4 linked regions of the Mus musculus genome follow. The protein of the gene in region 1 interacts with the protein of each later gene in a biochemical or structural test. Links are inferred from orthologs where the notes say so. Each region holds a gene or a part of one and is shown in the gene's direction. Other genes may lie near its edges. The genes, in order: Nppb, Npr3, Npr2 and Npr1.

What was found.
Region 2: the proteins of Nppb (region 1) and Npr3 form a complex in vitro, tested with the Homo sapiens proteins (4 studies listed by BioGRID, with this or other methods). The link is inferred for Mus musculus from reciprocal best matches to the Homo sapiens genes NPPB and NPR3.
Region 3: the proteins of Nppb (region 1) and Npr2 form a complex in vitro, tested with the Homo sapiens proteins (3 studies listed by BioGRID). The link is inferred for Mus musculus from reciprocal best matches to the Homo sapiens genes NPPB and NPR2.
Region 4: the proteins of Nppb (region 1) and Npr1 form a complex in vitro, tested with the Homo sapiens proteins (2 studies listed by BioGRID). The link is inferred for Mus musculus from reciprocal best matches to the Homo sapiens genes NPPB and NPR1.

Annotation. Positions count from the first base shown.
Region 1 is NC_000070.6:147,981,870-147,989,225, forward strand, and holds Nppb (natriuretic peptides B isoform 1 preproprotein), read left to right. Parts: upstream 1-4,030; 5' UTR 4,031-4,106; coding exon 4,107-4,232; intron 4,233-4,426; coding exon 4,427-4,649; coding exon of another isoform or gene 4,650-4,729; exon of another isoform or gene 4,730-5,092; coding exon 5,093-5,109; 3' UTR 5,110-5,336; downstream 5,337-7,356.
Region 2 is NC_000081.6:11,841,040-11,848,765, reverse strand, and holds part of Npr3 (atrial natriuretic peptide receptor 3 isoform a precursor), read left to right. Parts: intron 1-161; coding exon 162-297; intron 298-2,380; coding exon 2,381-2,468; intron 2,469-3,477; coding exon 3,478-3,589; 3' UTR 3,590-7,726. UniProt on the Homo sapiens protein: Receptor for the natriuretic peptide hormones, binding with similar affinities atrial natriuretic peptide NPPA/ANP, brain natriuretic peptide NPPB/BNP, and C-type natriuretic peptide NPPC/CNP.
Region 3 is NC_000070.6:43,642,667-43,650,392, forward strand, and holds part of Npr2 (atrial natriuretic peptide receptor 2 isoform 1 precursor), read left to right. Parts: intron 1-387; coding exon 388-508; intron 509-668; coding exon 669-743; intron 744-939; coding exon 940-1,017; intron 1,018-1,416; coding exon 1,417-1,521; exon of another isoform or gene 1,522-1,534; intron 1,535-1,641; coding exon 1,642-1,713; intron 1,714-3,874; coding exon 3,875-4,034; intron 4,035-4,249; coding exon 4,250-4,405; intron 4,406-4,482; coding exon 4,483-4,651; intron 4,652-4,804; coding exon 4,805-4,951; intron 4,952-5,410; coding exon 5,411-5,534; intron 5,535-5,680; coding exon 5,681-5,749; intron 5,750-7,482; coding exon 7,483-7,657; intron 7,658-7,726. UniProt on the Homo sapiens protein: Receptor for the C-type natriuretic peptide NPPC/CNP hormone. Has guanylate cyclase activity upon binding of its ligand. May play a role in the regulation of skeletal growth.
Region 4 is NC_000069.6:90,453,479-90,461,204, reverse strand, and holds part of Npr1 (atrial natriuretic peptide receptor 1 precursor), read left to right. Parts: intron 1-30; coding exon 31-115; intron 116-1,151; coding exon 1,152-1,272; intron 1,273-1,709; coding exon of another isoform or gene 1,710-1,784; exon of another isoform or gene 1,785-1,801; intron 1,802-1,807; coding exon 1,808-1,882; intron 1,883-2,082; coding exon 2,083-2,160; intron 2,161-2,468; coding exon 2,469-2,573; intron 2,574-2,783; exon of another isoform or gene 2,784-2,811; coding exon 2,812-2,883; intron 2,884-2,976; coding exon 2,977-3,133; intron 3,134-3,728; coding exon 3,729-3,884; intron 3,885-4,127; coding exon 4,128-4,296; intron 4,297-4,895; coding exon 4,896-5,042; intron 5,043-5,185; coding exon 5,186-5,309; intron 5,310-5,435; coding exon 5,436-5,504; intron 5,505-5,938; coding exon 5,939-6,113; intron 6,114-6,288; coding exon 6,289-6,387; intron 6,388-7,726. UniProt on the Homo sapiens protein: Receptor for the atrial natriuretic peptide NPPA/ANP and the brain natriuretic peptide NPPB/BNP which are potent vasoactive hormones playing a key role in cardiovascular homeostasis.

The DNA of each region.
Region 1 (7,356 bases):
TCCCATTTCTGTGCCCTTAAAGAACTCTCATATTCCTCCCGTAGAGTCCTGGGATCAGTGAGAGAATTGTCTCAGGGGCAGGCATGCCAGCTGTAACAAGAGACACACTGAAGTTCAAAAGTGATAGGGCTAGCTTAAGGATGTGGCTCAGTTGGCAGAGTGCTTACTTAGCATACACCAGGCCCTGGGGATGGAACCCAGGACTTTTTACAGGCTAAGCAAACACTACTAATTTAACTATAGCTACAGATTGTCAAATGCAGGTCCTCGCACCAGTCTTAGATCCCCTAGAACTGGAATACAGATGGTTGTATCAGATCTTTAGCACTGCATAAACCAGGAGGAACGGTGCATGTTTGTAATCCCAGCTCTGGGGAGGTAGAGTCTGAGGACCAGGCAGTCAAGGTCATCTTTGACTACATAGGGAGTTCAAGCCCAGCCACTAACTTATAGGATAAGGGTATCCTGTTGGAATGTGTTCCCATATGTTAAGCGCTTAGTCCTAAGTGCGCATGTGAATGGAGGGAGGGCCTTGGGAGGTTAATCTATTCATAGATTCATTGGTTAATGCCTTATTTCTGCACGCCTATAATCTTAGCACTTTGGAGATAGAGGCAAGGGGGTAAGAGGTAAAGGTTATCCTCAGCTAAACAGAGAGTTCAAGGCCAGCCTGGGCTACATGAGACCCTGTCTCAAAAAAGGAGAGAAAAAAAGAGAAAGAAATTTCAGCATATGGCACACACACAGTACACATACATGTGTGTAGGCAAAACACTCATACACATAGGAAAAAACCCACTAAATACATCTTTACAAACAAAGGGGACAGAGTTCATAGGCAAGACAGAGACAAAGTGAGAACCCAGACTCTCCAGGTGCTGCTGTGAGCAGGTTGGGAACACAACCAACCCCCTGCTGCTCAGGGTTCAGAGCAGCCTGACTACATGGCAGATCACCCAAGCTCCACTCACTGGCTCATAGTTCAACATCCCCTTCCCCTACCTCTGTTACTCAGCAGAGGCCATGTGTTAACCAAGCCTGCTTCCTAGAGATCTCAGATTGGCCCATCTTCAGAACCCTTTAAGTCTGAATGCCTTGCTTGGCGTAGAAAGAATGAAATGCTCTGCTTTCAGACCCCTGCCCCACACTTGGCATTTCTAAAGGCCTTTTGCTTAAAAAGATGACCTGACTAGTGCATCCCTCAGTCCCTCTCAGACTGGATTTTTAAACACAGTCTGGAATTTGACAGCACCAGCTGCAGGAAGGGCTTGAAGGCATGTGCTCAAAAGTGAGGAGGTCAGAGGCTGTCTCCATAAACCGCTTTGTAGGAAGACGTAATGACTAGACAAAGACACTGAAGACTCCTTTCTGCTCAGCCCCCATTTCTGCACAGAGGTGGGGTCTACTTCCAGTTTCTTTGGAGTCACCTGGGTCTGTTTTAAACAATGGAAAAGGGTGGAGTAGACCCCACACTGATGCTAGGTCCAGACCATACAGGGCATTATCAGCAGCTGTGAGCTGCCATGTCGGTATTAGAAACTGATCCTCGATCCTCATTCGCCACCAGACAACTGACCTAACAGCCTGTGTCTGTTCTGCCTAAGAAAAGTCTTCAGGAGACTCCAGCAGCTGCTGGCACCAGGCCACACTCTGAAGAGGGACATCAAGTAGGAGTCCCACAGCAGAGGTCTACCAATCACCAGGACTGGAAGATGCAGTTGAAAGATGGTCACTACAAGCCACCAAGCTATGTGTGTCTCATGGCACCCTGAGTATGCCTCATGGACAGAGCTTGTGGCACAGTGCTTGCCCAACATGCACAAAGCCCCACGTTCAATCTTCAGCCAACATAAAACAGGCATGGTGGTACGCACCTGTAATCTGGGTGCTTGAGAAGTAAAGGCAGGAAGATACGGTAGTTTAGGTTAGCCTGGGCTACGAGACCCTGTCTCAAAATATGTACAGTCCGTTAAACAGAGCATTCAGGAGGTAGGAACAGGCAGATCTCTGTGAGTTCAAGATCAGCCTGGTCTACAAAGTGAGTTCCAAGCCACCTAAGGACTACACAATAAAACCCTGTCTCAAACAAGCAACAACAAAATAAGTGGATGCTGAAAGAGGGTGTCAGATCCCCTGGAACTGGAGTTGTAAGTAATTGTGAGCCACCATGTGGGCACGGGAACCAAACCTAGGTCCTCTAGAAGAGCAACCAGTGTTCTAAAGCACCTCAGCCATCTTCCAGCACTGGGGATTATTTTTATTGTGTTAGTTGAGGAGCGAAGACCCACTGTGGGTGGCCCCGATCCATGGATGGGGTTCTGGACTATATAAATGGAGAGAGAGAGAGAGAGAGAGAGAGAGAGAGAGAGAGAGGAATTTACTGCTCTCTGCTTCCTGATTGTGGGTGTTACATTACCAATGGCTTCAAGCTCCTGCCACACACAAGCCAGATGACAGGAATGGTGATAGAGATGTGGATAGTGGCTATCTCAGAGGAGAGATAAGCTCTATCAGGAACTTGGCTGGGGGTCCTTTGTATGACCTGTTAGCCAAGAATCTGGCTTTATTCTGCCTGTGTCCTGAGAATTTACTGAAACTGGACGTGGGGGTGGTAGGCTAATTGGTTTCTCAGAGGGAAATTGTGTGAGAAGGATTAGGATTAGGAGACAAATTCATGTGCAAGGAGAAGGGTTGAGCTAAGAGTGGAGATGGAGGCATTCTCTGCCTCTCCTAAACAATTGCTTAGAAGAGAGTGTGTGTTTCCCTTGGGTCAGAACACAGAATCTCATGCAAACATGGGTCCGAGAGGCCCAGAAGCTTGCAGAAGAACCTAACAGCTTTCTCCAAATGTGACTGGTTCTGGACTCATGATCTTCTAACTATCCCCTTTCTCCATCTCTGCCTTAACCCACTGCCACTCCTGGTCATTGTCCTTGACCAACCTGACAGTTGTTAGCACAGATTCTGCAGAAGGGATAGAGACACTGGGCGCACACCTGGGTGTATATGCCTCAGCTTCACTTCCTCAGAGTCTCAATTCTCATCTGAGTGGGAGGCTGGGTGCGTTGTGTGAGGGAGACGTCACTGTTGGCCGATCAGCTAAGAGAGAGCTGGGGAGAGGCCTTTCCCACACGTCTGGAGTCTAGGCACACTTTCTCTTCCACTCATGGTGGGGGAGGAGACTTTGGCACCCAGAGATGATGCCCCAGATGGCATGGCTACGTGACCTCATCTTTGGGTCAGACTCAAAATTCTATCCTAATCAGCTCTTCTTGTTAAGGGTCAGAAAGGAGGGTTGGAATTCCAGAAGTTCCTTGTCATATCCCAGCTTTTAATCAGTTGACACTGGAGAGTGAGCATCCTCAAGCTGAAATCTTCACAAGTTTTTGAGGGGGGTTGTTGGAAGGTGGGTATCAAAACCATTGTGTGAGCCACATAGCTCCTTCTGGCCTGGAAATCGGTTGAGGAGAGAGCTTGAAAGTTGGTGTGAAGTACACGTGTGGCGATCAGAACCACGGACAGCTACCAGAGTACCCGGAAGTAGTGCAGTCCAGCTAGGTGCTGGGAAGCCAGGCCGGGCCTGGATTACAGGTTTGGAGGACACTCTCCCCGGGAGGCTGGTGATGGTGGGTGTTGTTTGGGAATGTTTTCCATGAGTCACGCCATAAGCCCCACACTCGCCACAGGCTGGGAAAGCTGGGGCTCTCCCCGCCATTTCCAATAGGGGTGGGGCAGGATGTCATAGGCCCTCAGGCTCTGCATGAAAGAAGGGAGCAGGAAGCAAGGACTGTTAGTGTGTTCCGCACACCCCCACCCTAGCCCAGCCCATTTCTATACAAGGCTTGCTCTCCACAGCCTCCACCCACAATGAATACTCCACACAGGCACAGAGGGGTGAATTCTCAGGTCCTGAGCTCAGCCGGCAGGAATGCAGCTGATAAATCAGAGATAACCCCACCCCTACTCCGTGAAAAGGTCTGGCCGGACACTCAGCCCCAGTATAAAAGGCAGAGGCACCGTTGTTGAAGACACCAGTGCACAAGCTGCTTGGGGAGGCGAGACAAGGGAGAACACGGCATCATTGCCTGGCCCATCGCTTCTGCGGCATGGATCTCCTGAAGGTGCTGTCCCAGATGATTCTGTTTCTGCTTTTCCTTTATCTGTCACCGCTGGGAGGTCACTCCTATCCTCTGGGAAGTCCTAGCCAGTCTCCAGAGCAATTCAAGATGCAGGTGAGCACTGAGGGTCTGCCTGAAGGGTTTGGGAAGCGGCAATGAAAAGACCTCGAGTCCTTTGGGAATTAGCCATGTGAGAGTCAGCAAACTGAAAGATTGGGCAGCATATCTCTTAACTGATGAGCACTATGGAAGGATGGGGGATTCAGGTGTGTGTGTTTCTGACGTCTGGGCTCCCCAATCCATCACAGAAGCTGCTGGAGCTGATAAGAGAAAAGTCGGAGGAAATGGCCCAGAGACAGCTCTTGAAGGACCAAGGCCTCACAAAAGAACACCCAAAAAGAGTCCTTCGGTCTCAAGGCAGCACCCTCCGGGTCCAGCAGAGACCTCAAAATTCCAAGGTGACACATATCTCAAGCTGCTTTGGGCACAAGATAGACCGGATCGGATCCGTCAGTCGTTTGGGCTGTAACGGTGAGCACCTACCTTGCCACTTCCCTGCAAAGCTGCACACCCATCCCATCCCCGTGCATGCTACCCTTAGAGGCCCCTAGGTTTGCTATCTGGCATACTCCTGCAGCCTGTCAGGAAATATCACATGGGTTCTGCATTACATTCTCACAGGTCAGCACCTACCTTCCATCAGAGGGGTCACACGCTCTGAGGGAGCAGACTGCCTGATGTCTAATCACCCCTTCACAAGGCAGAAAGAGTTCTGAGCATTTCCCCTCAGGCAAAGGGCATGCCCAACCCACTTTACAGGAGAAACAGAGGCCCTGTGAGATAGCTTTTTCCAGAGCCTTAAACTTCGACATCATCTGGGGACTGAAGATGGGGGTGTGGTGGTGGTGGGGGACTCGGCACCTGCTTCAGTTTCACTTCCGAGTGTGACATTGCCCTGTCTCTCCTCCCCACAGCACTGAAGTTGTTGTAGGAAGACCTCCTGGCTGCAGGAGACTCCAGTTTCTGACTCTGCCTGGGTCTCTTTCCCCAGCTCTGGGACCACCTTTGAAGTGATCCTATTTATTTATTTATTTATATTTATTTTTATTTTTATTTTTTAATTTATTTTGTTGTTTTTCTACAAGACTGTTTCTTATCTTGGAGCACAAACTTGCCACAACATAATAAACATAGCGTATTTCCTGCTTTTGAAAAGGATTTGTGTCCGTGAGTTTCAATCTATCTCTTAGCTCTTTTACTTTGCTTTTGTTTATTTTGGTTTAAGATAGACCTGGCTGTCCTCAAACTCGCAGAGATCCACCTGCCTCTCCCACCAGAGTGCAGGGATCAAGGGCATGTACCACGGCTGCCCAGCTGGAACCCTCTCCTTTGAATGCCATGTATCACCGAAACTCAGCTGAGGGCCAAAGGTCCTCATGACTAGTAATGTCATGATTATCATCACTCCCATTTTATGGGCGAGAAAACTGAAATTCAGAAAAGCCAGGCCTCCTGGGACATGAGGGGACAGCTGAGTGGCTGGCACATCTGTTCTGGCTGGCTTGAGCAGAGCTCTGGAGAGTGTCTAATGGAGAGAGGGGACCGAGAGGTGGCTCTTCGTGTGATTTCTCATTTCGATCTTGTGTGCACTCAAGGCTGTGGATATCTAATGAAAGCAATGAGGGTTTTTTTTTTCTTTTTTAAAGTTGAGGTTTAAAAAGTAGCTTATTTTCCAAGCATCCGTGAGTCATCTTCTGATGCTTCTGATGCAGAGGCAACGAGTAGCTAGAACAGTTGATGTGGACAAAGCCCTTTTTAACAAGGCAGGCACGGTTCCATCAGCTGGGACAGCCCCTTGTGACTCTGAGAAGAAGCTGAGCACCCTCCTTTGGCAGGCAGGGAAACCTAGGCATAGAGAGAGCGGTCCTGTGATTTGCCCAGGGTCGTGAAGTTAGTAAGCAGCAGAGCTACGTTCTGACCCAGGTTCTCATCACTGTCCACACAATCTCTTCCAAGCCAGGGACTTAGGCTTGCTGCTGGCATAGACACTCTAACCCACTCATGGCTCATCCTACAGATGCACATTTGAGCCATCACCTGCTTGCAGCCTGCACCTCTGCTCAGGGGACAGTACACACCCATTTTCCCAGGAGACTAGGCACATCTGTTAATAGGGGTCCATTGCTTGGGTGTGACTCATGCTGCACCCAGTACTTGGCTATCTTTTTCCAAGCAAAGTCCTGGAAAGGCTACCCAGAGGGACACCTCGCTGAGCTTCCAGGAGGATGTTGCTAGCTGAAAGCACTACAGGGCATGTCCTTTAAAACCAGTCTCCTGGCTGGGCATGAGGCTCAGCCACAGAGCACTTGCCTTGCATGGGTCTCACACCCAGCACTCCCCTACTCTCCCACCAGTAACACTAAACACACTTTCAGAATCAAATTTTTAAAAATCTGGGTGATGGTGGCACACGCCTTTAATCCCAGCAGAGGCAGGCGATCTATGAGTTCGAAGCCAGCCTGATGTTCAGAGTGAGTTCTAGGATAGTCAAGGCTACACAGAGAAACTCTATCTTGAAAAACATAACAAAACAAAACAAAACAAAACAAAACAAAACAAAACAAAACAAAACAAAACAAAACAAAAGAGTATAAAGAAATCATAGAAGGGAGGCTGATGCGATCTATAGCTTAGTTGGGAAAGTGCCTGTCATTGATATAGGGACCTGGGATTGGATTCTCAGCATTCACATGAAAGCTGGGCACAGCAGCCTGGATCTGTAATCCAAGCTCTGAGGGGGCATAGACAGAAGGCTTAGTTCTGTGCAGCCAGCATAGCTGAGCCAGTGAGCTCCAGGTTCAGCAAGAGAGCACTTGAGGAAGGCACATTGATCTCTGGTCTTCACACACATGTACATAAGTGCAAACACGTGCAGACACACACACACATATACCACACATCCATAAAAATAATACACAAATAATTAGAGCAGAGCCTATTGCTGGTGCTTGTCCAGTGTGCAGAAGTCCTGAATTCCATCCCTGGTGCCGCATAAACAGGGGTTGCTACATGTGTGTATAATTCCAGAACGCAAGAGGTAGAGGATCAGTTTTGGGCCTTCCTAAGCTACATGGGAAGTATGCTGGTTAGGTCTTTTTGTTGTTTGGTTGTTTGGTTGTTTGGTTGGTTAGTTGGTTTGATTGCTTGTTTTTTTTTTTTTTTTTTTTTTTGGTTTGTT
Region 2 (7,726 bases), on another chromosome or scaffold:
TCTAAAGCTCTTGCTGTCAGTTCCTGAAGGTGGTGATGTGCAGAGACCAGGGCATGCGTTTTGGAGAATGCCTGCGAGGCTGTGAGCGTGGTGCCTCCTTTGGGAAGAGGTACCTTTGGCCTGACCTTCTGTCTGTCCGTCTGACTTTTGCCTTTCTGTAGGTCATTGGTGATTACTTTGGGAAAGAAGGCCGGTTCCAAATGCGATCGAATGTCAAATATCCTTGGGGCCCTTTGAAACTGAGACTAGATGAGACCAGAATCGTGGAGCATACCAACAGCTCTCCTTGCAAATCATGTAAGTTCAGAGACTTAATTTACTGTCCTCCTTCTCCCGTCCCAGGATCACATGAGTCTGGAACATGTTTCTCTCAAGAACTCATGTTCTGAAAGTCCCATGCATTTTTCCGATGTCTTCAAAACCATGGAAACAACTCACAAATGGCTGACCCTCCTCCTTTACCGGAAGCTTCCACATTCCTTTCCTTTATCCTTTTCTTCCAAATGGTAGGGTATTCTGCCTGGATTTATATCTCTCACTCTAGTCTCTTAGTTATCAGAGGTTTCCACTTTTAGGAAAAATAAAAATGTTATCAGCTGTCTCTTGTTCATCTCTTGTAAGAAGTTTCATTATTGATTTCAAAGTTCACAGTTGACCTCCAAATCCCCAAATCCTCCAAATGGGGCACTCAATGCCATTAAATGCTTGACAGCTTGCAAAGTATTTAATTAATTTAATAACTATTGAATATATTATTAACGGTCAGTTTCTGGGTTCAAATAGAGAAGCAAGTGTGTCTTCTTATGAATAGCACAGCAAAGGGAGACGGTTTCGGAGATGATTGTCTTTGAGGGGCTTTGTAATATGAGTAAGAACAAGTGATGTCAATCTTGCAGGGCAGTTAGTGATTTTAGGTGACTATATGAACGATCATTATGTCTCAGGACCATCTTTGTTTTTTTTTTATTGCGTATTTTTCTCAATTACATTTCCAATGCTATCCCAAAATTCCCCCACACCCTCCCCCCCCCACTCCTCTCCCCACCCATTCCCATTTTTTGGCCCTGTTGTTCCCCTGTACTGGGGTATATAAAGTTTGCCTGTCCAATGGGCCTCTCTTTCCAGTGATGGCCGACTAGGCCATGTTTTGATACATATGCAGCTAGAGTCAAGAGCTCCGGGGTACTGGTTAGTTCATAATGTTGCACCTACAGGGTTGCAGATCTCTTTAGGTCCTTGGATACTTTCTCTAGCTCCTCCATTGGGGGCCCTGTGCTCCATCCAATAGCTGACTGTGAGCATCCACTTCTGTGTTTGCTAGGTCAGGACCATCTTTGAATGATGAGGAATTTATATCCATGTGATAATTATGAGAAAGGATGAAGGAGAAAGTGTGTTGACCTCATAATCGCCCAGTCTGTATTCCAAATCTCACACTCCTGCTTGCCAGTTTGGGGACCCTAGGAGACTCCCCTCAACTCACCAAGTCTCACATTTCCAGCATGTAAAGGGGGTTTCCCCAGCTTTGATCTGGGCAGCCAAAATGTCCATGCACCACAGGCTTTATTTGAAACCCTGCAAGGAAAGTAGCTGTTGAGTTTTTTGAGAACGGTGATCCTACCGAGAAAGATTTAACTCAAACAGGGGTTCACATTTTCACAAAGCTATATAGGACAGTTTGGATTGGAACTCTGACTTTGGTGAGAGAACATCTAAAAACAGAATACTGACCCAGTGCAATCTCCCGGAACTTTCTAGCACTTTGAAGTGTCACCACCCACCTGGAGAGACAGAAGCTCTGGGCCAGTGCCTTTGTCCATTCACGCATCTTCGCCTTTAAACTCAAAACCAGGATGGATGTGTGTGAGATCTTCAGTTTGCAGCTTTCATCAGATCCATCTTGAATCTGTCTCTTTCTCTGTCTATTATTCTCTCTAACCTTCTTTTCTTCCTTCCCCTCTGTTCTCTCCATTCTCCTTTCCTGTCACAGATTATGCTATGTGGTTCAGACTGGCCTCAAGCTTAAGCGCCTTCTGCCTCATATTCCCAAGTGCTAGGGTGACTGGTGTTTGTCCCAGGTCCGACTTTGAACTTGTTTTGACCTTGCTCTGTTCACTCTCGAGTCACGGTGCATTTATCTAGTGTTTTCTGGAAACCTTTCCTCAGAGCATTATACATATATATTTTACATTATAGGTTACATATAATACTATATATAGTACATAAATATTATATGTAAATAATATACAATATGTTACAATATATTATACATATGTTACAAAGAAAGGCAAATTAGTTTCAACTGGGAGATAAACAAAAGTCAAAGTATTTTAACTTATTTCTCAAAATGAACTCTGATTATTGATGTTTCTTTTTCAAGCAGGTGGCCTAGAAGAATCTGCAGTGACAGGAATCGTTGTGGGGGCCCTACTAGGTGCTGGCTTGCTAATGGCCTTCTACTTTTTCAGGTATGGCCCATTTATGGAGTTAAAGTTCACCCTGCTTCTTTTGCCTTTGTCCCCTGTCTTTGCAATAATGTTCCCTGTGATTTGCCCACACCCTTCTTTTAAACAAGAAGGATGGTGGTTAAATTACCAAAACTGTTCTCTGACTCCATCTTGGGTTTGGTAGGCAGTGAGCCCTTGATTCCTATGTTACTTGCTAGAAAGTGGCTGGGATCTCGGGATCATTGATCCATTTATGAGAATTACGAACATCTACCTATCAAATTACAAACATGAAGAGTCTTTGTATCAAATACAAAAATGTGGACAAAGAATGAACTTTCTATCCGCAGTCTTTCTTCGGTTTAGAAACAAGTGCTCATGCTCACTTGAAAGGCTGGAAGGAGCTCCAGTGGTCTGTGAATCCGGGCTGCAGTGGGTTCTGTGTTTGGAGAAGTCACATGTTTAGCTGCCATTGTTGTGGCTTAAATCTCATAAACTTTTAATTATGCGCATGTGTTCAAGGTTCTAGTCGTTTGCTGCAGCGACAGTGGCCCGTCCTTTGGTAATCTTCAGTGGTTGAATTCATGGGGCATTGTAAATCATCATGGTTTATTTGTAATATTTCTTCACTTTTGCATTGGAGATGTAAGTCTGGGTGTATGTGGCTCTTTGTGGGAACAATCGTGTTCCTGTTCCTTTGGTCACAGTACATTTGGTCTGATCTTTATCTGGGGGCACATCCTGGGAGTCAAGCAGAGCTTCTGGGGCAGAATAGATAAGACTCCCAGGGAAGAAGGGGAAGGCTTGTTCTGTGGCATTTCAGAAAGCATGCCAATTTTTCTCCCTGAATAAGGACACGATGCCTTGGGGGTACACGACTTTAATCTCAGAACAGGGTTTCATATTTGTGTCACTTGTCATTTATCAAACCTAACCCAGATGTCCCTGGAGGGCACTCTTTGTAAGAGGAACCATGGTGTTTTACAGCCGAGTGAGGTTTTATTATTACATTTGTTTTGCTTTTACCCAGGAAGAAATACAGAATAACCATTGAGAGGCGAAATCAGCAAGAGGAAAGCAACATCGGGAAGCATCGAGAGCTGCGAGAAGATTCCATCAGATCACATTTTTCGGTGGCTTAAAAGAGATGCCCCTCTCGCTTCGTCTACTTGAGATTCCTTAAAGAGATAGATGGAAGGACAGACATCAACGGAGCAGAAAGGGCGTTCTCGGAGAAGTCATTCTTTTAAGCAGTAGTCATTTCATTTTACATTTTCTTTAGAAGCTCAGGAATGATTGTTAATCACTATCTGCCTTCTGGCCTCTCATCTCATGGCAAACTAATATAATGAAACAACGCAATGCTGTTAAGTGTTCTGGCTGCTGGAGGGGCATCAGAGGAGATTTATGTCTTGAAAGTCTGCTGCGTCCATATCTTGATTGCTTTGGGGGCAGTTCACACGAGGATAGAAAAATGTGGCTTTTCTGAAATGAAATGTTTCGTAGCTAGGATAAAACAATTTTTACAAGGAGAATATTCTTGGAAAGAATTTAACACCCAATAAGAGGACAATGGAATGAAAGAAATCTCCAGGCTGGGAATGCAGTGCCCCTCTCTCTGGAACTGGGGGACAGGTTTGTGGTTGATGAAGGCTGCGTCCAACGTCCACATTCAGGTCTGAATTCATATCTCAAGAAAGGATCCTCCCTGTCTCTTTTAGTGTCTCATCAGAGCTACTCTGGAAAACTGTAAATATTAGTGAGCAAGGAGGATTTATATAAGAAAATTGAGTCTAAAATGCTTCTTATACGATGTAAAAAAAGTCCTACTTCACACTAACATTTTATTTTTAAGTATTTTAATCTTATATTTTGGTATTAGAAATGTGTCTATTTTTTCATTTTGAAGATTAAATTTCACTTATATTTTAAGAGCACGGAGGAGGTGTGTGACAAATCTGTGGAGAGGGAGGAACGGTTCTCGTTTTCTCTGCTGTCCTCTGTCCCTTGGCTGTCTCTAGTCTAACTGCTAGTCTGGCTGAAGATGTACAGAAGTCTGTTCAGCTTACAAACTCTGAAGGAATACGTTGATGTTAAGCCGTTGTTCATTTTCAACTGTTTTAAATGGATGTTATTGGAGGGCTACATTCTTTCTAACTATGGTCAAATGATGCCCTTCAAAACCAGTAGACTTAAGTGGAGTCTATAAAGAAACACAACCCCTTTCCCTCAAGAATAAGCAGACAGTGAGAATTTGACAGCAAGACACAGTGGTGATACGTTTAAAAAAAAACTGCATGCAATTTATCAAAATTTGAGGTGATGATTTTAATTTAAAAAGGGAATGTTGATATCTGCTGTGTCCCTTTAACCTTATAGAGTTTTGCAGCCACCACAAATGATGCATAGCTTGGACAGTGAGCTAGGACAGACAAGGGCATCGTGGCTAAGACTGAGCCAGCCTTTGCTGGGTATCCTCTTTGCACTCAATCCTGGGTGCAGAGGTTTCAATTCTGGTTCCGACTTTATCATTTGAGGAGAGAACAAGGGTACCGTCTTGTAATTTTGCCTTTCTTGGTAACATTCTGAGCATCTGAAACCCAGCTTAAAGGGGGGAAATTAAATAATTTCTTGGAGGTCCTATCCATCCAGGTTAACTGTGGAGGAGTCCAAGCAAGCTTAGCAAGCTCTGGAAGCTGGCTTCCCAGGGAAGGAGTGGACCACACCTCATTCTCTCAGTGGAGTCAAAGTGAATGGGCTGCACCTGTGTGGGGCTCAGGAAACGGGATGCAAACCGCATGATAAAATGAATTAGCTTCTGAACAACTGAAGGGGGTGTGGTAGGAGGTATGTCGTGGTTCTGCCTGTGGGATATTGAGGGAAAAGTGCTGACTTAAAAAAAAAAAGTAGGCCAGAAAGGCAAACTTTAAAATGCTAATCCAGGAGGCGCGTTTGTGGAGCACAACTCAGGAAGGCTGCAGCTGATGGTCAGGGACTCACATAATGAAGACAGATGGGCAGACTGCATCCACCCCAGTTCTCAGAACCAGAGGGCTGCTTGTTTCTCTCTTACATTTTCAATGATGTTTTCCCTGTGTTTCAGAGATACTCATTTTTTAATGTTTTTTTTTTTTGAACCTGTGTGTTAATTGCAGGAGGGTGACAGTGGGAAAAGTTCTCTACCTGGCTATATTCTTTGGGTATGAATATGTCTAATCCTTTCTTGAATTTGTATAGTTTCCCCTTGAATGTCAGCATAGTTACAACAGTATTTTTTATTTCTGCTCCAGCTAGAGGAATTGTTCCAAGGTTAATAGTGGATCCCCAGATTAGATGTTAAAGAATAGATTAGATGTTTAAAAAATAAATAGGCAGGGTGAATCGTGAAGTCCCTGGAGTCATTTCCTACAATTTTAAAGCAATTCTTATTATATTATTATATTATTATTAATATTATTAAGGTTGATTGCTCATTTACATGCCTGCTGTATAGTTTGTCTTTCTTGAATGTCTTTACATGGCTAGACAAGGTGGCCCATGTCTTCAATTCCAGCACTTGGGAGGCAGAAGCAGGAGGATATCAGTGAGTTTAGGGCCAGGATGGTCTCCATAGTGAGTTTCAGATCAGCTGTAGTTACACAGTTAGACCTTGTCTCAGAAAAAAATAAATCATTATATGAGTAGCCAAAATGTCATTAAGTTTTAAAAACACCACCAAGTTGGGAAACCTTTGCTGACAGTATAGATGTCTGTTCCATGGTGGCTCTGGGTTAAAAACTCTTGGTATTGTATTGTAGAACTTAAATTCTTAACTGCTAAGCAACAACTTTGACAATTAGTCATTCATAATCTGCCAGTAGTCATCTATTATATAATTAACAAAATGGAACTTTAGTTCTTAAGCCATTCTATAAATTTTTACTCTTAAGTCCAATGATCAAGGTTTCAAAGGGGGGGCATTTCATTAGTGTTTTTTATATCTTGTCAAATATAAGTTCATACACAAGCTAAACTAAGCGTATACTTATGGTGATGGAAATAAACACAAGTTTTATAGCCAATATTATTGTCTTAGATCTGGGAGAGAAGCTGAACTCAGAAACAAAACTTTCTGGGTAGAGTCATATCTGTTCCCAACACAAACAGAGGTTTCACACGGAATCCGTCAACATGTATTGTTTTGAAGAGCCATTGGCGTGTCTTTTCCTGAACCACAGACAGAATTCCACATGTCTTGAAATAGTTGTTTACATTTCAGAATTCATGGAGGAGAGGGAGAATCCTATGGAATGAGAACAGATGCCCCACCCCCACTTCCTTTTTCTCTTGAATGAAAAGCTTTGGAATGCCAAGTCACTTCCCCTTGCTTACAGGCATCCTGTGCCTTTGCTCCTGGCACATCTACCTTCTGTGTCCCTAACTTACCTCTTTTCTTCTAGTTGGGACTGATTGTCAGGGTCTAAGACATGCAGTGGGACGTGGAAAGGGAGGCCTTGTGTATCTCAGAGAGTGGTTTCAGAAGCTGTTTCTAGTGATGCCATTGCTTTCTTGAAACAGAGCTACTCGTGCAGGTGTTTTAGATGCGTCACAAGTGCGCGCGCGCACACACACACACACACACACACACACACACACACGAAAAAAGAGAATGAAAGAATAGCATTTATAAATTGGAAAACACTAGGGTCTGTGTTTGTTGAGACACAAAGAGCTCAGATCCCTAATAGGTGCAACTACAAAGGCAAATGCCAATTGAACTTTGGCCCACTACCTATTTGTGTAGTTATACCCTACAGGTCTTTAGAAGAAGGCTGGTAATGAGCTGAATTTTTCCTTTAGTGGAAAAAACAGAAACTGTCTAGAAATACAGGATGCTTTAGGGGCAGCATAGAAGTAGGGAGAACGAGCCAGAGGCACTGGAGGGATCTGTCTATTTTTCAGTTGGTCTTTAGAACAGAATAATGAACAGTTTAGACCTTCTTCAAAAGCCAGTCTCCACAAGAAGTGCTGGACATGCCCAGAGAGAAGAACCAGGAGCTTATGTCTCTCAAAGTGACAGAGAGAAGAAGTTTGCAGCTGACACGGGCTCAACTGTTCTTCATAGAGCTCCACCTGCTATCCATCACATTTCTATGGGTGTGCTAGCACCTTTCCCATGCAGGTGGAAACTTGTGAGGAGGCCTCCTCATTTACTCAGAGAAAAAAGACAAAATCGCACCGCTGTGAGGAGGTAGCTGGCTTCTACTCAGAAGCCTGACAGCAACTTGACCATGCATGTC
Region 3 (7,726 bases), about 100 Mb from region 1:
CACCCTGGTAGAGTATTTGCCTAGCATGTTCAAGGCCATAGATTTAATCTCTAGCCTGGAAGAGGGGAATGAAGAGAGAGGAGAGAGGAGGGAAGAAGGGGAGAGAGAGAGAGCGAGCAAGAGAGAGAGAGAGAGAACTAGAGTTGTGTGGTGGTATATATCTACAATCCCAACATTTGGAAGGCTGAAGCAGGAAGACCATCATTAGTTTAAGGCCTACCTGTGCTCTGTCTCAAAACCAAATGAAACCAAACCAACCAAACCAAACCACTTTGCCTGTGACACTGAGTGTTCATGTCCCAGTCCGGTGGCAGTTGCAGCTTCCTGGAAGCTTAGTGGGTGGCAGGACAGGGCTTGTCCGTCGGCTGAGATGTGCAGTCCTTACAGGAAGCTGATGCTGGAGAAGGAGCTGGCTAGCATGCTATGGCGCATTCGCTGGGAAGAACTGCAGTTTGGCAACTCGGATCGCTATCACAAGGGTGCAGGCAGTCGCCTGACGCTGTCGCTGGTGAGCCCTTGGCCCTCCGTCTTCCTCTGACTTCCTGTTCTCTCTTACCCTGGACCTTTCCCCCCCGCACACTGGCCTGTAATGATAGACCCTTGCACCACCACCACCACCATCTAATGTTCCTTTCATCCTTCCGCCTCCATGTTGCCCTTGGCCCCAGCGGGGATCCAGTTACGGCTCGCTCATGACAGCCCATGGGAAATACCAGATCTTTGCCAACACCGGTCACTTCAAGGTGAAGAGTCATCTGCTTGTTCTGGTTCCCGACCATTTCATTGTGTCTCATCCCCATCTGCCACCTCTGCCCCTGAACCTCTGCCCCCTCACAGTCCCCGCTGTCTTCCCAGCGAGGTTCTTGGGAGCTCTCAGTTCTCTAGCATCTCAGATACCCCTGAGGCTCAGGGTCTTTGTCTGTTTCCACCCCACCTTAGGGAAATGTTGTTGCCATCAAACACGTGAATAAGAAGCGCATCGAGCTGACCCGGCAAGTTCTGTTTGAACTCAAACACGTACGTACTTGGGTATGAGTGGGAGGTGAGGGTGGACAGGGAAGAGGAAATGAGGGGACCATGGTTCCCTGGCTAACGGGATAAGGGGCTTATTTATCACTGATTCCCAGTTGCAGGTGTATGTAAGAGAAATGTCATTGCTCACAGTGGTATTTCTGTATTTCCGTATTTATTTATTTAGAGACATAGTCTCTCTGTGTAACAGCTCTGGCTATCCTGGAACTTACTATGTAGACCAGGCTGGCCCTGAACTCACAGAGATCCTACTGCTTCTGCCTCCCCAGTGCTGGGGTTAAAGGTGTGCGCCACCATGTTTGGCCTCTGTATTTAAGCTTTAGGGCTGCCCATTCTCTTGTTTTGTTTGTTTGTTTGTTTGTTTGTTTTGTTTTGTTTTGGTAGATGAGAGATGTCCAGTTCAACCATCTTACTCGCTTCATCGGAGCCTGCATAGACCCTCCCAACATCTGCATTGTCACCGAGTATTGTCCTCGTGGGAGCTTACAAGTGAGGGACAGGGGTAGGAGACTGTGGTAGGGTGGGGGTGGAGGTTCCAAAGTCACCTTGTGTCAAAGGGTAGCCCGTGAGACTGGGGACAGACCCTGATCTCTAACGTGTCACTGTCAGGATATTCTAGAAAATGACAGCATCAATTTGGACTGGATGTTTCGCTACTCGCTCATCAATGACCTTGTGAAGGTAAGTCTTCCCCGCCATGTAAAATGTCTCAGTCCCTCAATCTTCGCTGCAGTTTCTCTCCTGGATCTCTAACAGCCAAGCTCTTTCCCAGCCCTCTCCTCCCGTGACTGGGTGATGCAGCGGTCCTATGTCCCGAGAGGTTCTTGTCCTCCTGTCCCAGATATCTTTAATGTTTCTCTAGTGTCTCTTTACCTCAAAGGGTTCCCCTGTAGTAGAATCCTATAGCTGGGCATGCCATCATATGGGAGGTTGAGGCAGGGGGCTGCTCTGACTTGGAGCTTGACCAAGGCTTCAGAGTGAGTTTCAGGCTAGTGTGGACTACATAACAAGATCCTATCCAGAAAAAGAAGACAATTAAACCAAACCGAACAGTGACGAGGCATCCCTTAGCTGGGTGTGGGTAGTGCACATGTGTAATCCCAGAACTCGCTGAGACAGGAGGATTGGGTGTTCGAGAACAGCCTGAGCATCAGTAAGAATCTGTCTCAAAACAAACAAATGAAGACGTCGAATGAGGTCTCCGTGCACTCGTCTCCTGTAATTTCATGCTTTAACCAATATTCCCCATGCCTGTAACTAACTGCGGAAGAGGTCTCTAGTCTTTAACATTTCTAAATTTAACTGCTTGTTTCTGGAGACTGGGTCTCTCTGTGTTGCCTTGGCTGACCTGGAAGTATCTCTCTGTGGACCAGGCTGACCTTGAACTCAAGAGATCTACCTGCCCCGGCTCCTCTGTACTGGGATTAATGGCAGGGGACAACACTTGTAGCTTTGATTTCTTTTAGAGACAGGGTTTCATGTTGCCTAGACAGGCCTCAAACTTACTATGTAGCCAGAAATTGCTTTGAACTCCTGACTTTCCCATCTCTACTTCCCCAATGCTAACATTGTAGGTGTGCACCACCATCGTACCTGGTCAGAGACTGAAACGTATTTGTATGTTAACCTAAGAGAGAGGAAGGAAACTTGCACTAAATCTGTTTCCATTCTAACGGCCAACCATTTTAAAATGACTCAGAGGCCTGCAGATGGCTGAAGCACACTGATGAATCTTGTATGGCTTAGACAGTGTTCAGAAGCAGGTCTCATCAGCCTACTCATGAGACCGCCTGACTGTGCCTGACACTGGCTCTGATTTTCTGCTAAGTTTTCAGAAAGTTTTTTTTAAAATTAATTTATGCATATGAAAGTTTGCCATCAAGTGAGAGAGGAAACTATTAGGGAAAGCCAATGTAGTTTTGGACAGGAGATGTGGGGATAAACATGAAACCCAGGGGTAAATTCACCAGCTTAGGCATTCCTTCCTAAAGGCCTCGAGCTGCTCAAAGCAATAAAGAGGAGGAACTCGAAGGCCTTGGACCTGTTCAAGGCCAGAGCTTAGCGGTTACACCCTTGTGATTCTGGTCCACAGCAGAGCCTTCTAGCCTCTGTCTGACCACCTGCACCGACTAGGGAGGGCTTCCAGAGTTTCTCTTTGGGGAAACACTGCCTTGCCCTCCCAAGACCGGCCTTTTCATCTCCTGGGGGCAGTGTTCTGACATCTCTGCCTCTAGGAAGCCATGCTTCCACGATGACTTGACTGTTGTTGCCCACCTCTGTCTATTTTTTTCAAACTTTGTCTTCACTACTGTGTGGTCTAGCATTCCTCTAATAGACCCCATTCTGCTCCCACCATGACCTGGATCCTATGCACAGCCATACACAAGAGTTACAAGTGGCTGGCTTTCTATGGAGCACCTAGAGCCTAGCCATGTCTTAAGTCGTGTCCTCCTAAACAGTAGCTAGGAGTGTGAAGTCGGTTCAGGTGCCGAGCTGGTTCTGGCTGCTCCCTTCACTGCTCAGCAAGCCGCCATTCTCAGGGAAACTACCGATGGCTCGCCTCATCCCTCTTCATAAGTATCTCCGCCTATCCCTTGTGCCTTGTAGTTCGATGCTGTTTACATGGGAAGTGATGGCTTTCCCATTCTGCCTGCTTCCTCCAGTCGAGGCTCTACAGGAGACATCATCTCAATTCAGCTTGTTTTTTCGGTCTTAAGATCCTTTAATCTCTAATGATTTGGGGTTGGTGGTCTGAATATCTTTATGAAGTTAGCTGGATCATGCCATGGACTGAGGTTGCCTAAGCCAGATACAATCCAGACACTTACTCTGTATCCTGCAGGGTATGGCCTTTCTCCACAACAGCATTATTTCATCTCATGGAAGCCTCAAGTCCTCCAACTGTGTGGTGGATAGTCGATTTGTGCTCAAAATAACAGATTACGGTCTGGCTAGTTTCCGATCAACTGCTGAACCGGACGACAGCCATGCCCTCTATGCCAGTGAGACTGCTCCCTGCACCCCCCTCCCCCCAAGCCATCCCCTCCCCCACACCTCCTCCCTCTGCCGCCTACCTTTTATGTCACCCTTCAAGCCTTGGTCGTTTCTTCCCGGGGAGGGGGTAAGAGGGAGACCAGTAGTAGCAACATGGGGCTGAGCCCAGGTGGCATCCAAGATGCTGTTTGGGGAACCTAGCCAGCCTGTTCACTCTTTGCAGAGAAGCTGTGGACTGCCCCAGAACTGCTTAGCGGGAACCCCTTGCCAACCACAGGCATGCAGAAAGCAGATGTCTACAGCTTTGCCATCATTCTACAGGAAATAGCACTTCGAAGTGGTCCTTTCTACTTGGAAGGCCTGGACCTCAGTCCCAAGGGTGAGCGAGTCCGTTGCTACACAGTCGCTTCTGCTAGGGAAACCTGAGTCTTCATCCAAACTTCCTGTCACCCTTAGAGATTGTCCAGAAGGTGCGGAATGGTCAGAGGCCGTATTTCCGGCCAAGCATTGACCGGACACAACTGAATGAAGAGTTAGTTTTGCTGATGGAGAGATGCTGGGCCCAGGACCCAACAGAACGTCCAGACTTTGGGCAAATCAAGGGCTTCATTCGCCGGTTTAACAAGTGAGAGGTCACCCAGGCTCAGAGGCTCCCGGGGGACAGAAACATTATCATTCTCAGTGGATGCGGCTGGTGTGCCTCAGGGGTGGGTTAGATAGGAAGCCTTGTCATTCTTGAGCACCTTGGAGCAGGTGTGATAGCCTGGCCTCCCTGCAGGGAAGGTGGTACCAGCATATTGGACAACCTCTTGCTGCGCATGGAACAGTATGCTAATAACCTGGAAAAGCTGGTGGAGGAACGCACACAGGCCTATCTAGAGGAGAAACGCAAAGCGGAGGCCCTGCTGTACCAAATTCTACCCCAGTAAGACCTTTGTCCCCCTTCTCCGAGAATTTCCTCACATTCTAGCTCATCCATCTTCTGAGAATTTGTTTGCCACCCTGGGAACCCTGGGTGACGTCTTGCCACAGTAAGCCCTCCTGGCTACAGGCAGAATGCTCTCACTTGGTCTCCATATGGGCTGTGCTGTCATCTTTCAGTTTCCAGTCCCTCCTTCTTGGGGCACTGTTCTTTCTCACCTTTGTCTGACCAAGTATATGCAGAACGATTTCAACTGGAACCACTTATCCCCACGGGAGTCCCCTCGCAGTGCCGGCCACTTTTGCACCCGGATGTGCACTGAGCTAGGTGACATCGTCTCAGCTGCTTTCCTTTTCTTCCACCAAAGCCAACTTCCATTCTAAGGCTTGGCTGTGCCACATACCCCACCCTCTCCCTCCTTCTCTCTCAGAGCGGGGCTGAGGGGACACTCTTGCTTCCTAGTTCTGTAGCAGAGCAGTTAAAGCGGGGAGAGACGGTTCAGGCGGAGGCCTTCGACAGCGTCACCATCTACTTCAGTGACATCGTGGGCTTCACAGCGCTGTCAGCTGAGAGCACCCCCATGCAGGTGAGAGCCGTGAGGGGAGCGGGCATGGGAGTGCTGGGAGAGCCTCGATGGACTAGTTTGCTCTAGAGCTCTTTTGTCTTTCAGCTTGAGAATTTTTTAGGAACTTGGGCACTAATTTCAGAGCCTCTGCTTTCCCGTCCTGTTAGGTGGTGACACTTCTTAATGACCTTTATACCTGCTTTGATGCCATTATCGACAACTTTGATGTCTACAAGGTGAGAGCTGGAGCTGACCTCCTTCTAAGACCCATTTCAAACCCAGTTTCCTGAACCCCACAGACCTTATCCACTCCACAGTCAGCGCTCCCTAAGTTTCTCCAGCGTCCTAGTGTTCTAATGGGTGTGAGTCTAGCAGGCGTGGACACTGGCACAACACCCGTGGCTCCCAGGCTTCCTGATCACGAGCTTTAGTCCCTTCCTCTCTGGGGTATTAGTGATACAGACGCCTGGTCTCTCCTTCCAGAACAGTCCGAGGATGCGGGCACAGCCTGACTATGGATGGGGTGGGGGAAATACATGTTACAAAGCTCTTTGTTAAAGTCATTGTCGGGTTATAAAGTCATTTGGTTAAGGGGCTAACTTGCCCTTGGGCGTAAATGTGCTGCATTTGCATATGGATTTTATAGCTAATTATGTGGCCTTAGGCAGGGTCAGGATTTCTCTGAGCTTTGGTTGTTGCAGCAATAGTTTAGTTATCATGCAAACTGATGGGCCAGCAAGAGGGCTTGGTGGGTAAGGGCGGCAAGCCTGGTGTCTTAGGCTCAGTGCCTGGAATCCCTATGATGGAAGGAGAGAAGTGATACCCACAGGTGTCCTCTGACTTCCACATTCATGTGCGTGTGGGCGTGCACGCACAAATAAATGTGAGACCTATTTTTTTTTAGATGTTCCTAACATGTAGTGTGGTTGTGGCAGGTAACAATATTGGGCATGGTGAGACCTGCCTGTCATCCCAGTATTTAGGAGCTGGGACAGACGGATCACGAGTTTAAGATTAGTCTTGGCTATACAACGGGACCCTACCTAAACATAAAAGAGGACCTTTTAAAGCTTACTTTACCCTTTCTGATGTTTCTCTAACAAAATTCCCATAAACCCTTTACTTAAATCCATCAATTATTTTTATTTCCTCCTACTTATTTTATACGTCTCCTTCCCTCTCTGGAACGTTTGGGAATCAAGCCTCCAGCTTTTCTCACGCTGCTCTGTTCTAATGCTGACTACATCCCTGGCCTTATTATTTTTTTTAAAATTCATATAAAAATTCATATATTCTGGAAAATTTGAGAGTAAGTTTTAGATAAAGTACCCCTTTATCCCTAAATTCTAAGTGTGGGCTCCCTCCAGACTTCACTGTGAGCCACAGGTTGGTACAGCCACCAGCGTCGGGAGCTGCTTCTTCCCTGACAGCCAGGCCATCTGGTCCATGCTACGGAGCATACGCTACTCTCTTTGTGCTTCTGGGTTCTTTGGACTGGGACTGGGATCCTGTCCACTTGTTCAGCAAATGCCACTGAGGACTCCCCAGGGGCTGGGGTCGCGAGGAAGAGTCAAGTATTCCCCTGTCTGGCCTCCTCTTACTCCCAGATTCTCAGGGCCATGGCATGTAGTCCCTCGTCTCTCTGGTCAGTCATGGTCTCCCAAGCTGTCAGGATGACCCCTGCTGTCCAGCTAACCTCCTTTCTCGCTCTCCCCGAGACAGCTGGAGATGACCTCTTAAAACTAGTTTTATTATTTTACTTATGTGTGTGTACCTATCTGAGTATGTGCCACATGGGTGCAGTTGCTGTGGAGGCCACAAGAGGGTGCCATATCCCCTAGAACTGGAGTTACAGGGAGTTTGAGCTGCTACATGGATGCTGGGAACTGAACTCAGGTCCTCTGGAGGAACAGTCAGTGTTCTAATGACTGAGACTACAGGTGACCTTCTAATCTCCCCTTTAAATCAGGTGGAAACCATTGGGGATGCCTACATGGTGGTATCTGGCCTTCCAGGCCGAAACGGTCAGCGCCATGCACCAGAAATTGCTCGAATGGCCCTAGCATTGCTAGATGCTGTCTCTTCCTTCCGCATCCGCCATCGACCCCATGACCAGCTGAGGTTACGCATAGGTGTCCATACTGGTAAGGCTGATTCTCACCTGGCCCTAGTGTCTACTTTTCCAGATCTTTCCCAACCAGTTTGTTTTTACA
Region 4 (7,726 bases), on another chromosome or scaffold:
TCTCTTCTACAACTTGGACTCTCCCCACAGACCACTTTTCCACACTGGAGGTTCTGGCTTTGGTGGGCAGCCTCTCTCTGGTTAGCTTTCTGATCGTGTCTTTCTTCATATACAGGTAAGTTAAGGCACAGGGGTGCTAGGTGAGAAGGGAGCAGGAGGAGAGGAGGCCTGGGAGGAAACCCAATGGGGGGAAGAATACTTCTTTCATTTCCTCCGTGAGGAGGCAGAAGCTCCAGATTGGAGTCTGGAAAGCATGGATCAGTTAAAGCCATAAAGTAGCTGGGAAGTGATTTCAGAGCAGAGCGGATGCTGATGTGGGACTAGCATCCTTTGCTGGGACCAGATAGAGAGCAGTAGTTCAAAACCTTCAGGTAGCTGGGCAGTGGTGGTGCAGGCCTTTAATCCCAGCACTCAGGAGGCAGATGCAGATGAATCGGTGAGTTCAAGACTAGCCTAGTCTATAGATAGTATGGACAGCCAGGGCTACACAGAGAAACCCTGTCTCAAAAAACGAAAAACAAACAAACTTCAGCTACTGACTTCAACTAAAGGAGTTGGTTCTGGATGACAATTCAGCTGAGAGCTAGGTGCTGACGCTAAAAGAAGGTGAGCGAGCCCACTCCTGGCCTCTGGTGCATGGGGAAATGAAAGTACAGAGCAGGATAAGGAAACAGGAAAGAGGGGGGAAGAGAGCAGTGCTGACTGAGCATGTGTGCCAGGCACTTCCACACTCAGGACACTGCATCCTGTAATAATTAAGGATGAAGTAGAAGCTGGGTGTGGTGTGCATAGCTTTACTCCGGCACTCGGGTGGTAGAGAGAGGTGGATCTCTGTGAGTTCAAGGCCAGCTTGGTCTACATAGTGAGCTCCAGGACAACCCAGGCTACATAGTGAGATGTCTGTCTTATTTAAAAAAAAAAAAAAAGATACAGAGGCCTCCAGTTTCCAAAGGAAGGAACTGAGGTGACTTCTCCCTGTCGGGTAAGATCCCCTGTGAGTTAGAATTTCCCTCAGGCTCCAAGCCCCAGCTCTCAGCTCTGAGAACAGGATTCCTTCAAGCATCCCTTAGCATGTGGGGTGTCCTGGGGCTCTGAGGGCTGAGGAGCACCCCACCAGGGCTCGGGGCTCAGATGCAGGCTTCACATTCCAGGAAGATGCAGCTGGAAAAGGAGCTGGTCTCAGAGTTGTGGCGGGTGCGCTGGGAGGACTTGCAGCCCAGCAGCCTGGAGAGGCACCTTCGGAGCGCTGGCAGTCGGCTGACCCTGAGTGGGGTGAGGACACTGCTGTCTCTGGAGGATGGGGATAGCTGAGTGCCAAGAGCAATGGCTGATGAGTTAGCGGAAGCTTCTAGATGAGGTGACTCACCCGGACCCAGGACTTGGGTGGTTAAGATAGGAAGATCTTGCTGTAAGTCTGAGGCTAGCCCATCCGTCTCTCATAAAACCAGAGCCAAACAAAAGAACAGGCTAACCCCCAGCTCTGCCTTCACTTGCTCACTCTGACATTGTCTTAAGTGAGGGTTGCAGTTACAGCCTCTGTAACAAGGCCCTCTCAAAGGTCAAATGACATAGTCTAAGTAAGCACGCAGGTATGAGTCTAATACACTACACAAAGGCGGGTGGGAGCTGGCATGGGTAGCTTACACCTGCAATCATTACTACAAGTTCCAGGGCAGCCTGAGCTAAAGAGTGAGAGCCTCTCTCTGCAGGGTAAACAGATAAGGGGCAGTGTGATTGAATCTAGAACTTCCAGGATGCAGAATGACCTCTGGGCTGACCAATAGATGACTATTGTTCATCTCTGTAGCGAGGCTCCAATTATGGCTCCCTGCTAACCACGGAGGGCCAGTTCCAAGTCTTTGCCAAGACAGCATACTATAAGGTAGGTCTGGGGCAAGATTGTAGAGTGTGCTCTGAGGACTAAGAGATGGTTCTGAGGTGGGCTGCCAGGGGACAGGGGTGGTCCCAGGGCAGGGGTGGGCTTTTAGAAGCAGGTAGAGAGCTGGGGTCATGGATGGGTTTCAGAAGCAGATGGGAGTCTCAGGTCATCTCCTGAATAATAAGTTTCCATTTCTTGCTCAGGGCAACCTCGTGGCTGTGAAACGTGTGAACCGGAAACGCATTGAGTTGACACGAAAAGTCCTGTTTGAACTTAAACATGTAATTTAGGGGAACAAGGCTGTGGCTTGGGAAGGGCCCCATGGGTACTCCCAAGAGAGTCGGCCAACAGAACTTGATTATGGAAGGATCTATACATCTGGGATGGGCCCTTGAGTCTTGTGGGTAGGAAAAAGGAGATCAGTCATGAGAGATCACTGGGTCCTCCAGGGTCCAGACGGGTTGTCCTCATAGGTACAGCCAGGAAATCAAGGGGTTAGGGAGCAGATGCTGAGAAAGAATGTTAATCAACACATGACTTGGTGAGGTATGAAGCCTCTGCCAGGCCTTGATGCTGCCCCCACTTGCAGATGCGGGATGTGCAGAATGAGCACTTGACCAGATTTGTGGGAGCTTGTACCGACCCTCCCAACATCTGTATCCTCACAGAGTACTGTCCCCGTGGGAGCCTACAGGTGAGCGGGACAAGAGGGAGTGTGTCGAGAAGCCCGGGGTTCCAGCCCTGGCTCTTACCCCATTGATCACATGAGCCCAGATAAGCTTCCTCTTTCTGGCCATTCTTGGCCTCTCTGTAAATGGGAGTTGGGGGCGGGCATGGCACTACAGCAAATCCAAGTGTCCAAGCTTACGCCAGTAGCTCCCTTGTACCCTCCTCCTACTCCCAGGGGGGTCTGACTCTTGCTGCCCCAGCAGGACATTCTAGAGAATGAGAGTATTACCCTGGACTGGATGTTTCGGTACTCACTCACCAATGACATTGTCAAGGTGAGTCCAGAGGAGCTCACTGGATGCCAGGCAAGGGCTGGGCATGGTTGGAAGTCACGAACCCGAGCCCTCTCGCCTTCCTAAATATTCCAGGGAATGCTCTTTCTACACAACGGGGCCATTGGTTCCCATGGGAACCTCAAGTCATCCAACTGCGTGGTAGATGGACGTTTTGTGTTAAAGATCACAGACTATGGGCTCGAGAGCTTCAGAGACCCGGAGCCAGAGCAAGGACACACCCTCTTTGCCAGTAAGTCTGACTCTTGACCCTAGGCCTCTGCTGCCAACACAGCTCAGAAGGGAAACTGAGGCCTAACCTCTGCATGACTTGGGTATACCTCTCATCTGCAGGCTCAATCTTCATTGGTTAAAAAGGAGGTCAGACCAAGTGGTCACTGGTTCTCAGCACTGTGCCGTGTGCACAGGAGTCCTAGCTACACCCTTGATCCCTGATTATCTTAAACCATATGACAGCTTATTTTCGCAGCCTTCTCAGATTATCACACCATCCTGTCTTACTTTTTTTTCATTTAAATATTTATTTATTTATTTCCTGCATAGGAATACATCATTGCTCTCTTCAGACACAGCAGAGGAGGGCATCAGATCTCATTACAGATGATCGTGAGCCACCATGTGGTTGCTGGGAATTGAACTCAGGACCTCTAGAAGAGCAGTCAGTGTTCTTAACCACTGAGCTATTTTTCCAGGCCCCCACCCCTGTCTTACTTTTATTATAGCATTTATTACCCATGAAATATAATATTCATTTGCTAGTTTTTCTTTTTCCCATCATAATGTAAAGTCCCTTATCCCTTCTATGACTCCCAACCTCTGATCCACAGAAAAACTGTGGACTGCACCTGAGCTCCTGCGAATGGCTTCCCCACCTGCCCGTGGCTCCCAAGCTGGGGATGTCTACAGTTTTGGTATCATCCTTCAGGAAATTGCCCTAAGAAGTGGGGTCTTCTATGTGGAAGGTTTGGACCTCAGCCCAAAAGGTGAGGATCACTTGGCCTATACCCCAGCCAATCTTGATGAATCTACCACCAGAGAGGGAACCTCTCCAAACACCCCTACCATTCCTTCTGGAGTGGGGAGTCAGCCACTATCCTTTGCTCTGTGGCTGCTAGTGACCAGTCCACTCTGTGCTCTGGTCTGGACTTGTCCCACCTAGACAGGTCTATCCCAGCTGGTTGCCCAGCTAGGCTTGCCGCTCTTCAGTGCGTGCCCCTTCCACACAGAGATCATTGAGCGTGTGACTCGGGGCGAGCAGCCCCCATTCCGACCTTCCATGGATCTGCAGAGCCACCTGGAGGAACTGGGGCAGCTGATGCAGAGGTGCTGGGCAGAGGATCCTCAGGAGCGGCCACCCTTTCAACAGATCCGCCTGGCGCTGCGCAAGTTCAACAAGTTAGTGGTCTCTCCCACTACAACCACTGTAAATCCCACACTTAAATCTTCTTCTACAGTGGCAGCCCACAGAAGCCACCACAGCCTCAAAGGCATCTGCATAGCTGGATGACTTGGCTGTCCCAACAGCTCCTTACCATTCACTACTCCTTCCTCTGCCAACATTGATACCCCACACCCTTTCCTGCCCACGGCCCTGTACTAACCCCCAGACTTCCATCTCTTTTTTCCAGTATGCCCACCGGCTAGTTCTCCCACTCATGTCTCTCTGCTGCCTGTCACTATCCTCAGCTCACCCTGCTTCTCTCCCTCCCCACCTCCTTCAAACTCACTTGTGTTCAATAAGAATAAGTAAGAACTCCAGCTGGTCAGAGAAGCAGGTAGATGTCTGTGGGTTCAAGGCCAGTTGTTCTTTTCACCTAAAACCCCTGATAATGTGAATAGATCCAGCTATGGCTACCTAGAGAGACCCTGTCTTTAAGGGTGGGGCAGGCATGGTGAGTGCCTGAATAATGTGGGCACTGCCAGGAAGAACCAGTCATCCCATCTCATCTCATCTGCTCCCCCCGCCCCCCGCCCCTGTAACCCATGGCCCTCAGGGAGAACAGCAGCAACATCCTGGACAACCTGCTGTCACGCATGGAACAGTACGCCAACAACCTGGAGGAACTGGTAGAGGAGAGAACACAGGCTTATCTGGAGGAGAAGCGCAAAGCTGAGGCCCTGCTTTACCAGATTCTGCCTCAGTGAGTTCTAAACTCTGCACGCGCGCGCGCGCGCGCGCGCGCACACACACACACACACACACACACACACACACACACACAAACGTATAGCCCTGTCCCCATCCCATCTCACCTCTTGGTCTCTACCTGCCCTCTCCCCTCAGCTCTGTGGCTGAGCAGCTGAAGAGAGGCGAGACAGTCCAGGCTGAGGCATTTGATAGTGTTACTATCTATTTCAGTGATATCGTGGGCTTTACAGCTCTTTCAGCAGAGAGCACACCCATGCAGGTAAGCCGGGGTTCAGCCACAGGCAACAGGCCAGGTAGGTCAGCTTGGCCACCTGGTTAGTACTCTCCACTTGTCCCTGGTGGGAGCCCTCATTCACCATTTCTCTTGGCTTCCTTTGCCTTCCAGGTGGTCACCCTGCTCAATGATCTGTACACCTGTTTTGATGCTGTCATAGACAACTTTGATGTGTACAAGGTGAGGTTATGAGTAGAGACAAGAAAGACAGGCAGACATGGACAGTCAGAAAATGTTCAGAGGGATCCTCTGAAACAAACAAAACAAAACAAAAAAGGCCAGGCATGGTGGTGCACACCTTTAATCCTACCACTTGAAGATAGATGCAGGGAAATCTATGAGTTTGAGGCCAGCCTGAGCAAGTTTCAGGACAGGACCCCATAGCTACACTCAAAGAAACTCTGTCTTGAAAAAACAAAGGAGAAGAAGGAAGAGGAGGAGGAGGAGAAAACAAAGACCAAGAACATGGGCAGAAACACACAGGGGTGGGGGGAACCCAGGAACAGACAGAGAAACGGGCTGAGGCTGAGTACATTGACAGGCCAGTTGATAGGCACAGAATGTAGGCGGGTAACGCAGGCAAAGCTTGTCCTTTATTCTCCCCCGCCCCACAGGTAGAGACCATTGGTGATGCTTACATGGTGGTATCAGGGCTCCCAGTGAGGAATGGACAGCTCCATGCCCGAGAGGTAGCCCGAATGGCACTTGCACTGCTCGATGCTGTACGCTCCTTCCGCATCCGCCATAGGCCCCAGGAACAGCTGCGCTTGCGCATTGGAATTCACACAGGTCTGACCACGGAAGGCCTCCGGAGGCTGAAACTCAGAAACAAGTCCGAGACTAAACCTTTATCCCCTGTCTCTCTCCACACACCCTGGGACCACATATCCCAACTCCTACCTCTTCTGGGGTGCTCACCTCCTCTGACTTCCCTGGACTCTGTTCCTTTCTTTTCCCCTCCCAGGTCCCGTGTGTGCTGGTGTGGTAGGGCTAAAGATGCCCCGATACTGCCTCTTTGGAGACACAGTCAACACAGCTTCAAGAATGGAGTCTAATGGGGAAGGTAGGATGGCCCTCCTGAGGGAATGAGAAGGGTGACTACTTAGTACATCCGGCTGCTTCTATCTACCTAGTTCCTCAGCTAGCTCCTGCCTTCTCTCTGCCTGCCCTCATTTCCCTATACATGTATCTACCACATTGTAAATCAAGACAATTGGTGTGTGTGTGTGACACATGGGGTTGAAAACGCACTAAGCCCACCTTAGCCCCAAAGCTTAGTTAGCTACAGAAGTGTTCTCAAAGCATTTTCTTTAGCTTACATCTGAGCAAAGCACTCTAACACAATTTTTTTAAGAGACTTTAACAAGTGGCCTAACACTGAGGTATGTGATATAAGATATTTATATTCTTTATTTTAATGTGGATCTCATTAAGCAACTCAAGCTGGCCTTGAACTTATAATTTTCCTGATGTTGTCTCCAAGTACCTGGGATAACAGGCCTAAGCTACCAGCTTGGGAAACAAAGTCTATTTAATAATAATAATAATATTATTATTATTATTAATTGTTTGTTTAATGTACTCATGCACCCACAAAGATAGGTGTTTTGCTGGTGAGGTGGCTCACTGGATTAAGGTGCTTGCTGGCCAAGCCTGGTGACCTGAGATTGACCCCTGAGACCCATACGGTTCCAGGGGAGATTGGATTCCACAAGTTGTCCTCTGACTTCAACACATACCCACATGAATGTATGTACACATACAAAAATGGATAAACATTACTTTAAATTTTATTTTTAAAAACTTTAGCATGCACATTTTTAGTCTCAGCACTAAGGAGGCAGAGGCAGGTATATTTCAAAGTTCGAAACCAGCCTGGTCTACAGAGTGAGTTCCAGGACAGCAAGAGCTATATAATGATACCCTGTCTTGTGAAACAAAACAAAAAACAAATGATCCCCCCAAGTCTGAAAATGTCCTCCCCCACTCACAATAAATAAGTAATGGTAATAAAAAATTTTTTTTAATTATGAGAGAAGGGGCTGAAGAGATGGCTCAGTGGTTAAGAGCACTGACTGCTCTTCCATAGGTCCTGAGTTCAATTTCCATCAACCACATGGTGGTTCACAACCATCTGTAATGGGATCTGATGCCCTCTTCTGGGTTGTCTGAAGACAGCTACAGTGAACTCACATAAAATAAATAAATCTTTTTAAAAAATAATAAGAATACAATATAAAATGCCAAGCATGTAACTAACTGTCATTTATCATTTCTGGGCCTCAGCTCCTCCATACAACAGTAACCCTGTTTCAGAATTGTAAAAGATCTAGCACAATTCTTTGGGTAGGCAGTAGGCATCTAATAAATGCTTGTTTCCACCCCTCCCTTGATCTTGCCCC